Caenorhabditis elegans: one gene and its partner. The protein of the gene in region 2 purifies or fractionates together with the protein of the main gene of each other region. This does not show direct contact. Each region holds a gene or a part of one and is shown on either strand. Other genes may lie near its edges.

The links. Proteins that work in one complex are often made in the same cells at the same time.
Region 1: the proteins of lpr-3 (region 2) and spig-1 fractionate together in Caenorhabditis elegans (co-fractionation; one large-scale study listed by BioGRID). This does not show direct contact.

What each region holds. Positions count from the first base shown.
Region 1 is NC_003283.11:7,049,805-7,053,709, reverse strand, and holds spig-1 (DUF4473 domain-containing protein), read right to left. Parts: upstream 1,996-3,905; 5' UTR 1,983-1,995; coding exon 1,919-1,982; intron 1,869-1,918; coding exon 1,591-1,868; 3' UTR 1,531-1,590; downstream 1-1,530. Other genes in the region: txt-17 (transcellular chaperone signaling (x)cross tissue), read left to right, coding at 513-585, 638-912; tofu-2 (Schlafen-like protein 2), read left to right, coding at 2,483-2,485, 2,654-2,882, 2,939-3,387, 3,434-3,501, 3,544-3,640, 3,689-3,886.
Region 2 is NC_003284.9:11,054,447-11,061,141, forward strand, and holds lpr-3 (Lipocalin domain-containing protein), read left to right. Parts: upstream 1-2,954; 5' UTR 2,955-3,061; coding exon 3,062-3,187; intron 3,188-3,241; coding exon 3,242-3,650; intron 3,651-3,717; coding exon 3,718-3,894; intron 3,895-3,946; coding exon 3,947-4,501; intron 4,502-4,554; coding exon 4,555-4,725; intron 4,726-4,777; coding exon 4,778-4,923; intron 4,924-4,972; coding exon 4,973-5,098; 3' UTR 5,099-5,347; downstream 5,348-6,695. Other genes in the region: C09F12.2 (Glycosyltransferase 2-like domain-containing protein), read left to right, coding at 57-186, 493-624, 673-843, 895-985, 1,037-1,528, 1,618-1,823, 1,877-2,026, 2,081-2,197 and 1 more; lpr-6 (LiPocalin-Related protein), read left to right, coding at 5,548-5,757, 5,943-6,117, 6,204-6,365, 6,408-6,544.

The DNA.
Region 1 (3,905 bases), on a different chromosome or scaffold from region 2:
CTGTTGACGTCTATTGAAAACTAAATAGAATCTCCTTGTAACAAAACGGGAGCTCTTTTTACATTTCTTACAATTAGGTCCTATCGAAAATATTAAGCTAAATATATGTAGAACTACGGGTTTCAATTATTAAAATTTTCATGTTGATTGAATACTATAAAACGTCATTCTCGTGATTCACACTTTCCGAAAACACTTCGAGATAAACGTTGTGCCATAACCCGATAGACATCAAAATATCTAACCGTTTTCCCTGTTTTCGAACTATTCCCCTCTAGATAATTGCCGTAGAGAACCACAGGCACGGATATTTTTTCAATTCGAAAGCGTAACAAATTACAAACCAGTTATGTGTCTCCGCCTAGAACCGATCTCAATTTGGATGTATAAAAACCGTGCTGATAGCTCTGAAAATAACATCATCATTTTTTAAGTTTGGTTTCATATGTTCTTTTCGCAAGCATCTTCTTTCTGTATCTCATCAAAATAAAAAATTAATATTTGTTCAGAAAATGTGCAAACTCTTCGTCGCCGTTGCACTTCTCGCTGTTGCCATCTATGCTGCTCCACCAGTACCACCAAGTGGTAGGAAATTTTTATATTTTGAACTTTGAAAAACTCTGAATCTGATTTTCAGCCGAGGAGGTGAAAGCTCAACTTGTCGCCGCTGGGCTCTCGGAGACTTCTGCCGCAGGAATCGTCGAGGTTGCCGAGAAGTACAAGACTCAACTCGAAGCTCTCAAGGATAACAAGGACGATAAGGAAGCAATAAAGAAGGTTTTCGAGGAGATCAAGACTGACACGGATGCCTACATCAAGACTCAACCAGAAGCTGATCAGAAAGCTTATGCCACCTATATCGAGTCTAAGAAGAAGGAATTCGAGGGACACCACTCTACTCCAGCTCACTAAATATTTTCTGATGTTGTTGCTCGAAATGCACATATATACATTTTCCCTTGACTTTTTGTATTGAATGAATCGAATTTTCTGTTTGAAATGTTGACAAGTCTCTTGTAAAAATTAGAACCTGCCATAAGAAAAGCATGCCTACCTACATGCCTAAAAGACAAACCCTGATCGCCGCGAAGGAGAAGTACATTTTGACAAACCGTGAAAAAACGTTTATTCGGGCCGGAGCATAACACGGTAATGATACATCTATTTCAAGTCCAGTTATTATTGACCTGAAGGTAACTTGTAGACCTGTTGGTGCCTGCAATGACGCCCACCCTGTGTTAATAAATACCAGGTTGAAACTTGATATTATTTTCGCTTCTGTAACTATTATTCCAGCTATTTATCGTTTTAAGTCTGAGCTATTAGCAAAATTAGGAACATGGAATAGCTTAGTATCATTATTATTACTATTATTATTATTTAATACGTTTACATAGATAGATAGAGTAAGTAGGTAGGTAGATAGGTAGGTAGGTAGGTTTTTAAAACAAGGGAAAAAGATTGGGTTGTTCTCGATATTTCACCCGTTACTGTAGTCTTATGTCTGGATGAAGCACATATGGAATGATTCGCGAAATTAAAGTTTTATTTTCAAATAAAAAATGGTTCCATATTCAAAAAAATTGATATTTAAGCACTTTCGGCAGCAGCAGCTTCCTTGTGAGCTTGGAAGTGCTCCTTGGCCTTCTCAACGAATGCTTTGTAAGCGGTCTGATCAGCTTCAGATTGGGTGGCGATGTAGGCATCAGACTCGGACTTCATGCTATCGAAAACTTTCTTTCCAGCTTCATGATCTCCCTTGGTGAGAGCCTGGAATTGGCTCTTGTACTTATCTCCGATTTCAACGAGTCCAGCGGCAGCAGCCTCGGAGACTCCACCCTCAACGAGCTTGGCCTTCATCTCATCAGCTTAAAATTATAAGGGTTTTAAGAAGAACGTTGAAATGAAAAACTTCTACCTGATGGCATTTGATGAGCATAAACGACAGCGAGAAGGGCAACGGCGACGAAAAGTTTGCACATTTTGAAAGTTGGAAGTGAATTGAATTGAAATTACTACAACCTGTCGACTATTTATACGAATCGAATTGTGACGACACGTAGTGGTGATTAGTGGCAAGGCACATTTGACACAAAAACGATTGGTTCTAAAATCCGGTTTGAATATTGAATTGGACTACACACACTCTCACTACAACATGGTTTTTTCAGTTTATGATTTGTTGCCCAACAGTTCAATTCATAGACATTCGCATCAATTGCGGAGGATCAAACGATTTCAGTTTCGAACTTTTCAAAAAATGTGTAACTGAACTTTCTGTTAAATCTGATGTTTTAATATTTTTTGTGGTATGAAAATAATTTTTTCATCAAAAAATTTATTTGAAATTCCCTCCATTTTCTATCGGCTAAACAACACGCGCCGCGTAACGATGGAGCATCGTTGTGCATTTTTCGCGAGATAATTTTTTTTTAATTTTCGTAATTAAAATTTCAACTCTTCCGTGCCTGGTCATTGAAAAATGGTAAGTTTTAAATATTTTTAGAATCAGAAAATAAATTTATAGTTTTTTAAAAGTTTCTCTTCTAATATTCCGCTAATTTTAGCATTTTTAAATCTCACTATTAGTTAAAATAAATATATTCAACAAAAAATTCCGGTGTGCTGTTTAATGCTACATATTATTTTTCAGGCCGACACAAGTCCACGTGAATCCAAACTGAACAAGCAGGATCAAGATCTTCATCTCGAAATTGATGAAACTGGATTAGCCTGCAAAAGTGAAGTGAAGAAAAGATGGCTCGGAGCACGTGGAACAGCCGGATTATATGGAAATGGAAAGTATTACTATGAAGTTACAATTACAAGTAAAGGACTGTGCAGAGTTGGCTGGGCTACTCTCGGTGGAAGTTTGAATATTGGTAATACTTTTTTGCATTGTGCAAAATTATTCTTTATTCCAATTAAAATGTTCCAGGTAAAGGACTGGATAGTTTCGGTTATGGTGGGACTGGAATGAAGTCAACCCACAAAAAGTTCGATGATTATGGTCTCCCATTCACTCTGAACGATGTGATCGGTTGCTATCTTGACCTGGATTCCCGTACCATCTGGTGGTCAAAAAATGGAGAACAATTTCCCGCCGCTTTTTCCATCGATGTGAAATACAAAAACTCGAACACGTGTCTCTTCCCGGCGGTCTTATGTCAAAACTCAAGCCTCTCAGTCAACTTTGGATCTCAACCGTTCAAATTTCCCCCGGGAAATCAGTTTACTGCGGTTTCCGATGCTCCAAATGAAAATGTGAATTGGTGGAGCTATGAGGAGCAAAACTCATTCGAACATGTAGTGGTGAAACTACCGTTTGCAGTAGAAGAAGATGTTCATAATGAGTTCAGAATGCATACCAAACTGATGCTCACTGAAGTAATTTAAAGTGGAAAATAAAGGTTTTTGAATTTTCAATTTACAGCTAAAGAGGACTCAATGCAAGCAGGACAAGGATGGATCTATTCGAAGAACTCTTCAGCCGATCAGCAAGTATGGGTGTTTCTGGAGCCAAAAAATAAATATAGATTTCAGAACAATTTGCGCATTTCTGAACACTGACGGTGGACGGCTTTTTCTGGGTGTCAACGATGATAAAGTTATTAAAGGAATTTCGATGAGCAAGAACATGGCTAGTTTTTAATAATAAAAACGCACAATTAGCTAGTTGGATTTTCAGATATACCATTTCTTCGGTTCTCTGCGACACATGTGTGAAAATTTTAAACCATGCAGTCCGCTATGTCGTATCAAAGTCTCCATTCTCGAAGTTATCCCGGTGGGAGTGATAAAAGTTAAGCTGAGAAAAGCGGATTTGCTCAAAGAAGAAGCTCATGATTTCCCGAAGCTCGCCTGCCACAGTGTTGGCGGATCATTCGTACGTGTTTTACGATTAA
Region 2 (6,695 bases):
AGAAATTTGAAAACATGTATGTTTATAAGCAGTCCAATTAATATTCTTAATTTTAGCATTGGAGCATACGCGGGCAGATTGGCCAAACCTGCAAATGCTTATATTCGATGGAATTTACTATTCACTTTCTTGATTTTCTTATTCATCACATCTGCCATTTGGATCCCTTGTATCCCTGCCGTTAACGTAAGTTGAAAAAATATTCAAGTAGATAATCGAACAAGGAAAGTAATTCAAAGTAGTCGTAGACTTCAAAATCAGGCGTATGGCATTAAAGTAATAACAATTCTTCGAAAATGGACATTATTAATTTTGAATCAATGTGGTAATAAATGTATTGATATCGTTCTAGACCACGATTTCAAGAGTTTTAAATTTAGTTTCAACTCAAAAATTGTTATGGTGGCCTAGTCCAACATATGCTTTCAAATCTCATGTGTCTCAATTGGAAGTTTTGATTTTCTAGTCGTGTTTAAACCGTTCAATGTTTAGGATTTTGCCCTTGAAATTGTGACGATCATCTCAATAATTCTCCACTGCCTTTGGATTATTGCAATTATCAATGCACTAAGGTACACATGGCGATTGAGAAGATTTGCATCTCATGAAATTAGACTCGACCTGGTGAGCCAATCTGGATAGGCAATTTGAATTCCATTGAATACATTTTAGGTCAAGAATGAAGCAGGTCTAAAAATGAAGCATTTAGTTGGGCTTTGTGTCTATAAAGAACCATTAGATTTGCTTATGGATACAATCGAGAGTATAGCTTCTCAACCAAATGCGAAGGAAAAGATCACTTGTCTTGTTGGAATGGAAGGAGGAACTCCGGACAAAGAAGAGGTGGGTGTTTTTTCCAATGAATCACTTTTCAAACGGTGCTCTTTTATTTAGAAAAAGCGCATTCTGGACAACAAATATGGGCCAAAGTTCGAGCGGTTCATTGTCACATTCCACCCACGTGGACTGCCGGGAGACATTCCAGGTAAATAAAACCGAATCAGAGAAAAATGCCAACGTTTGTTTGATTTTCCAGGCAAATGTTCGAATTTCAACTACGCGGCTAGGACAGCGGTCAAAATGTTGAGAGCCGACAAAAACTATCCATTAGAAGAGTATGATAACAATGTCGAACTGATTGTTACCACTGGAGACTGTGACAGTGTTTTCGGAGATAGATACTTTGATGCTTTAGAAGAAGACTATTGGAAAATTTCTGCAAAGCAAAGATCCTATACTGTCTGGCAATCTCCATTGTTTTATTGCATCAACTTAGACCAATCGCCATTTTTCGTCAGAATAACTGGTCTTCTGCGAGCATTTTTCATGATGGGATACCTTATTCCATGGAATATCAACACCATGAGCATTTTCTCACTCACATTGAAGCTTTTCGAGGAGGGAGAATACACTCACCCAGGATATCAAATGGACGATATCATTGCTCTCATTAGATGGTCATTGGCTGTGAGAAGAAAATGTGTGATCAGAGCGATCCCTGTTGCCACCTTGTCTGGACCCACCAGCGGTGAGTATTCTGGAAAAAATATGATTTGTATTTATATATTTAGTTTGCTTCCCAAATTTTAATTTTAAATTTATATCCTTTTTTTTTAGGAAAGAACTATATCGACGAATGGTACGAGTGGGCACGACAGATCAGACGCTGGACCATTGGAGCTGCTGAAGTCTTCCATTATTTTGCCATCAAATTTTTCCGTCTTCCGGTTACAGTTTCTATTTCATTCGCCGCAAAATTTGTGTTTTACTATGGGTTTCTTCTTTGTATTGCTTCAATTTACACTTTAATCGCGCCTATTGTGGTAAGACATCATCTTATTTTCCAACATATCTTAATGGAAGATATAAAATTCAGACCCCTGCTATGCTAAATGCAGTCGACCATGGCGTTAACGGGCTTGTCATTCCAAACAACAAATGTTTCATGATCATCATGTTCGGCTTCCTGGGTCTCCAGTACATCTGGTTCTTTACGGTTTTCCTGGTTAACTACCTTTGCCAACCGGTAATATCCTCATACTTCATAATGACCTCTCTCAAAAATAATTACTTTGTTTAGGTGTTCCCCAGACAAACTAAGGACAAAACGGGAATCATCCGCAACATTTTCCACTGGCTGATGACCTGGCCCACCCTGATTATGTACTGTTGTGTCGAATTAGTCGCATTTCTAGAGGTAAGTACTTCCGTTCCTATTCAGTAGTTTACATAATTATCATTCGTTTTGAAGGTTACGGTTCGCGGTAAATCTGTCTGTTCGCATAATGCTTCGAAGAAAGACAATCTCGTTGCGCCAGTACCCAGCAAACAACCTGACCGAATGGAAGTGTGAATTGATGCAATCAACAAAATTTATGAATCAATGCGAATTTGTATTTCCGATTTCTCAAGAATTTTATTGTGTACCATAAAGTAGCGGGTTTTAGTTACACTAGTCAATTTTTACATCAAATTATGAATTCTCTCATGCATTTCCAATTTCATTTTCATATAATAAAGCATTTTGTCTGTATCTGTTATAGCATTCAAAATAATTAGAACTCCAGTTTGAATTAAAAATAATAGTATATAACATCATTGTACTCTTGTGGTAGGTAATTGTTTAAATGTGTCACGTCAATCATGATGGCCCTATAGAAAACGCTAGTTTTTCTGTTATCTGATCGTGTTCCAACTGGCACGGAATTTCTCATTCTCTAGCCACAACCGTGTGACGAGCGGATCAATTCCGCGCGCTGTGTCATCGTCATGGACGCACAATAGCTTCTTATCAGCATCGCGTAAACGCAAAACCTTCTGGACGACGCGTTGACCTGGCCCAATTTCGATTGGACAACCGGGATGAAGGCGAATAGCAATCGACGGGAAAGGTGGGAAGAGAGAGCGCAGAGAAATTGAGAGTAGTGAAAGGACAATATCGGAGGGGGTACTTCTTGTCTTGATTCAACTAGGTCGGAGAGAGGTGTATATCGGGAACCCTCCCACATTGTCGTTAGTCGATTTGCATCCATCCACACTCATTGGCTTCTGCACACCAGTGATGCGTTCGCTTATTTGGATTTTGGCTACGACGTTAGCTGTGGCACTAGGCGCTATTAGCGAAGCAGACGTACCTGTAGTAATTCATCTCCCAGCACAACACCACCGTCCAAGATTTTTAGGACAGGTAACTTTTTTTTTCATATTTTTTTAGCCCATTTGTCAATTAAATATCGTTTAGGTTGTCCCACCACGTGCTGTTAATGCGGCCCCACGCGCCCCAGCCCCAACTATTGCCCAAGAAAAGGCTATCGCCGTTCCACAACCACAACAACCAATTGCCCTCCCACCAGCACCACCAGCAGCGCAACAACCAGTGTTGCCAGTGACCAATGGAGATCAATCATTTGCTCCAAGAGTTGGAGCCGCCATTCCACCACCTCCACCAGTCAATATTCCAACTGATGTTCAAAACCAGCTTATCAAATTCTTTGGACTTGACTCGTTTGGAATTCCAGGACTTACTGGCAACCATCCAGAAGGATTCGCTGGAGCCGTACAAGAGATGAGAGCTGCCGGAATTCCAGTTCCAGGAATTCCAGCCGAACAGGTTAACCCAGAAGCTGCCGGAGTCAAGACCGTTACCGATGGTTAGTTTTTATGTTCTAAAATGTTAAATTTAACAAAAACAATTCTAAAATTCTAATTTTTTTTCAGATGTTCTTGCACAAGCCAATCCAAATTTCCAAGACCAACTTTCCCAAATTCAAAACGCTGTAAACAATCCAGGACCATACAAGGGAGGAGCAAATGTTCCACTTCCAGCTGAGCAACCAGGAGAGAATGGTCTTATCGGACTTCTATCTAACTCTATCAGAAAGGTCATCAAGGAGAGTGAGTGGAAATTTATAGGTATTCTATCGACACGTCATACGTTTTGTTTCAGCCGGAGTGAGCGATGCCCTCTCCAACTCTCTTCCAAACCTTCTTGGATCTGGATCAGGAGCTGATTCATCATCTGCCCCAGCTGCATCATCCAACATTCGTCGTGCCCCACAAGCCGCAGCTTCATTCGATGACGCTGTTGCTACTGTTTCTGCATCTGCTGCATCATCTTCTAACATTCGCAGACAACCATCTGCTGCTCAAAGAGCCCTTTCTGGTTTTGCGGCCGCTCTCGGAGGAGGAGGCAACAACTCTCCAACTCATGCAGGACTCCCAAGAATTCCAGGAATCCCACTTCTTCCAGGAGGTATCCCAAGAAACTCTCAAGGACAAATTGACATCGTTAGTCTGATCGGATCAGTTACCAAGCGTGTATCTAACGGAACCACCCTTTCTGAGCTTCTCCCACCAGAGAGACTCCAAACTCTCGCTGACAATGTCACTGATGCTCTTCTCCCAGAAACACCAACTGTCGATCTTTCCAAATTCATGGGAAGATGGTTTGAGGGAATTAACTCTCCAAGAGCCACCGAACAAAGATGCGTTGTTCATCATTGTGAGTACAGTTGTTTGTAAAAAAGGAATATTTGTTTAAATCAAAAATTTCAGACGGAGGACTTACCCGCAATGACAAAACCGCCACTTTCACCGCTCTCAAGGTTTACAGAGAAGGATCTGAGTTTGGACCAGTCAAGTATTCTCTTGGGTATGCTTTCCGTGGAGGAAACAAAGATGCCATGCTCCAACTTCACTCTTCTGAAACAAGTGACGCTCAACCATGTATGTTTATTTCTTCCTCATTTTCAATAGGCACCTAATCCATCATTTTTAGTCTGGATTTACAAACTTGGACCAGAGGGAAAGAACTCATTCGGAGACTCCCAATACGAGTACGCTATCATCTCCAATTGGGTCAAATATCCAGTTACTGTTTTGGTTCGCGACCCTGATACTTTCAAGACCAAATACCAGAAAGAGGCAAGTCAGAAAATACATGACACTTATAAATGATAAATATAACTTTCAGGTTCTCCGTTGGCTTGAAGACCAAGGATTCATCAACGGATTTATCAGAGCATTCAACCTTCTCCAACCAGCTGGATACTCAACCTGTCAATACGCAGACTCGACTTTTGAAGTTTTCGGAAAGTAAATCCAACCACAGTCAACGAGTACATTGGGCCCTCAGTCGCACCCACCAAATTAATTTTTACTGAAAAATCTCTTAAATGACCTCTTTCTCCTTCTCACTTTTATTGCCTATTTTTTCGCCAAACATTCCCGCATCAGTTTGCAATTACTTGTTGTTGTACAGTTCTTAATAATTGCATTATAAATTTAATAACTCTTTAATAATATAAGAACCCGCATAATAAAAATTCGTAATAAACATTTCTTTCCATATATTATACTGCAATTCACAAATCCATTTACAACGCATTGAACCCCACTTAAAAAGGGTGAAGGTTACAAGTACACCGTGCCCTAATTACTCACGTAATGTAGGTAAATTGTGGTTTACTGCTTGATGAGACAGTTTCACATGAAACATGGAACACACAGGCACCGAAAATGAAGAGAAGAGGGGGAGCTTGAAGATTAATGGGCGGGGTTCAGGTTATGAAGGTCGAGGAAGAGAAAGGAGAAGGCGTCCATCGCAACAGCCAGCAACTGCAGCAGTCACTTCTGTTCACTACATATACGGTCAATATTCTAGTAGTGACCGGTGTCTTTCTAAAAATAATGTGGTCTCGAAATGTTGCACTGGTCTTCTGTCTCCTTGGTGGAGTTACCGCTATTGGAGAAAATGCGGTAAGTATCCCTTAAAACAACAAACTAGTCGAATTTTTCGGATTCAAATTCAATTTAATTAAATAAGATACAGAACATTGGAAATTATCTTTCTTTTGTTAAATGACATTTGTAATTTATGATATTTAGTAACTTACGTCAAGTTTTGAATATGTGTCAGCATAATATTAAAAATTGTAATTCAGATGGATTTCCAAGCCATTACTGGTATTCTTGGAGGAATTGGAAAAATGCTCGAAAGCAAAATTGACACCATCAATGTCCCTGCGGAGATGGTTATGGGAAAATGGTTCCAGATGTACAAGGCTGCTATGAACTTTGATGTTGTCCGCACCACAATGTTCTGCCCAGTTGCTTATTGTAAGTTTATCTTTCTAAAGTCTCAAAAACATGTTTTTGAACCTGTTCGAATCATAAACTAAGCTCAAATAACAAGTAACTTGCAGTCTCTCCTAATCCGATAATGGGTGAAGAAGGATTCTCGATGCAAGAAGCTTACAGAGTGGTTTCAAAAACTGGACCAATTGAGACTTACAAAAGAGACATGAACAAAGTTGGACCAGGACAATACTGGATGTACACTGAAGAGTACTTCTACCCAAGACAATGTGAGCGAAAAACATTTAATTTTGACTAAACTTGCTTTTCAGTTTACATTATCGGAGCTGGACCATCTTTCAATAATGGCACCAGAAATTCTACCGAGCCACTCCAATACTTGATTGCTTCTGATGCTAACCGACTTTCCCTCATGGTTTATGCTAGAGATCCTCTTGTATTTTTCCAGGTCAGTTGCGAAACATCAAGCGTTGCGGCGCGTGTTTTTTGTTTTTACTCTCCTGTAGGGCGCACTAGTGAGATTGATGAACACAGTGATTGACAGGAGGCGAGAATTGGGTTAGCTTATCAACATCGGTTGACCTTATTTTGAATTATTT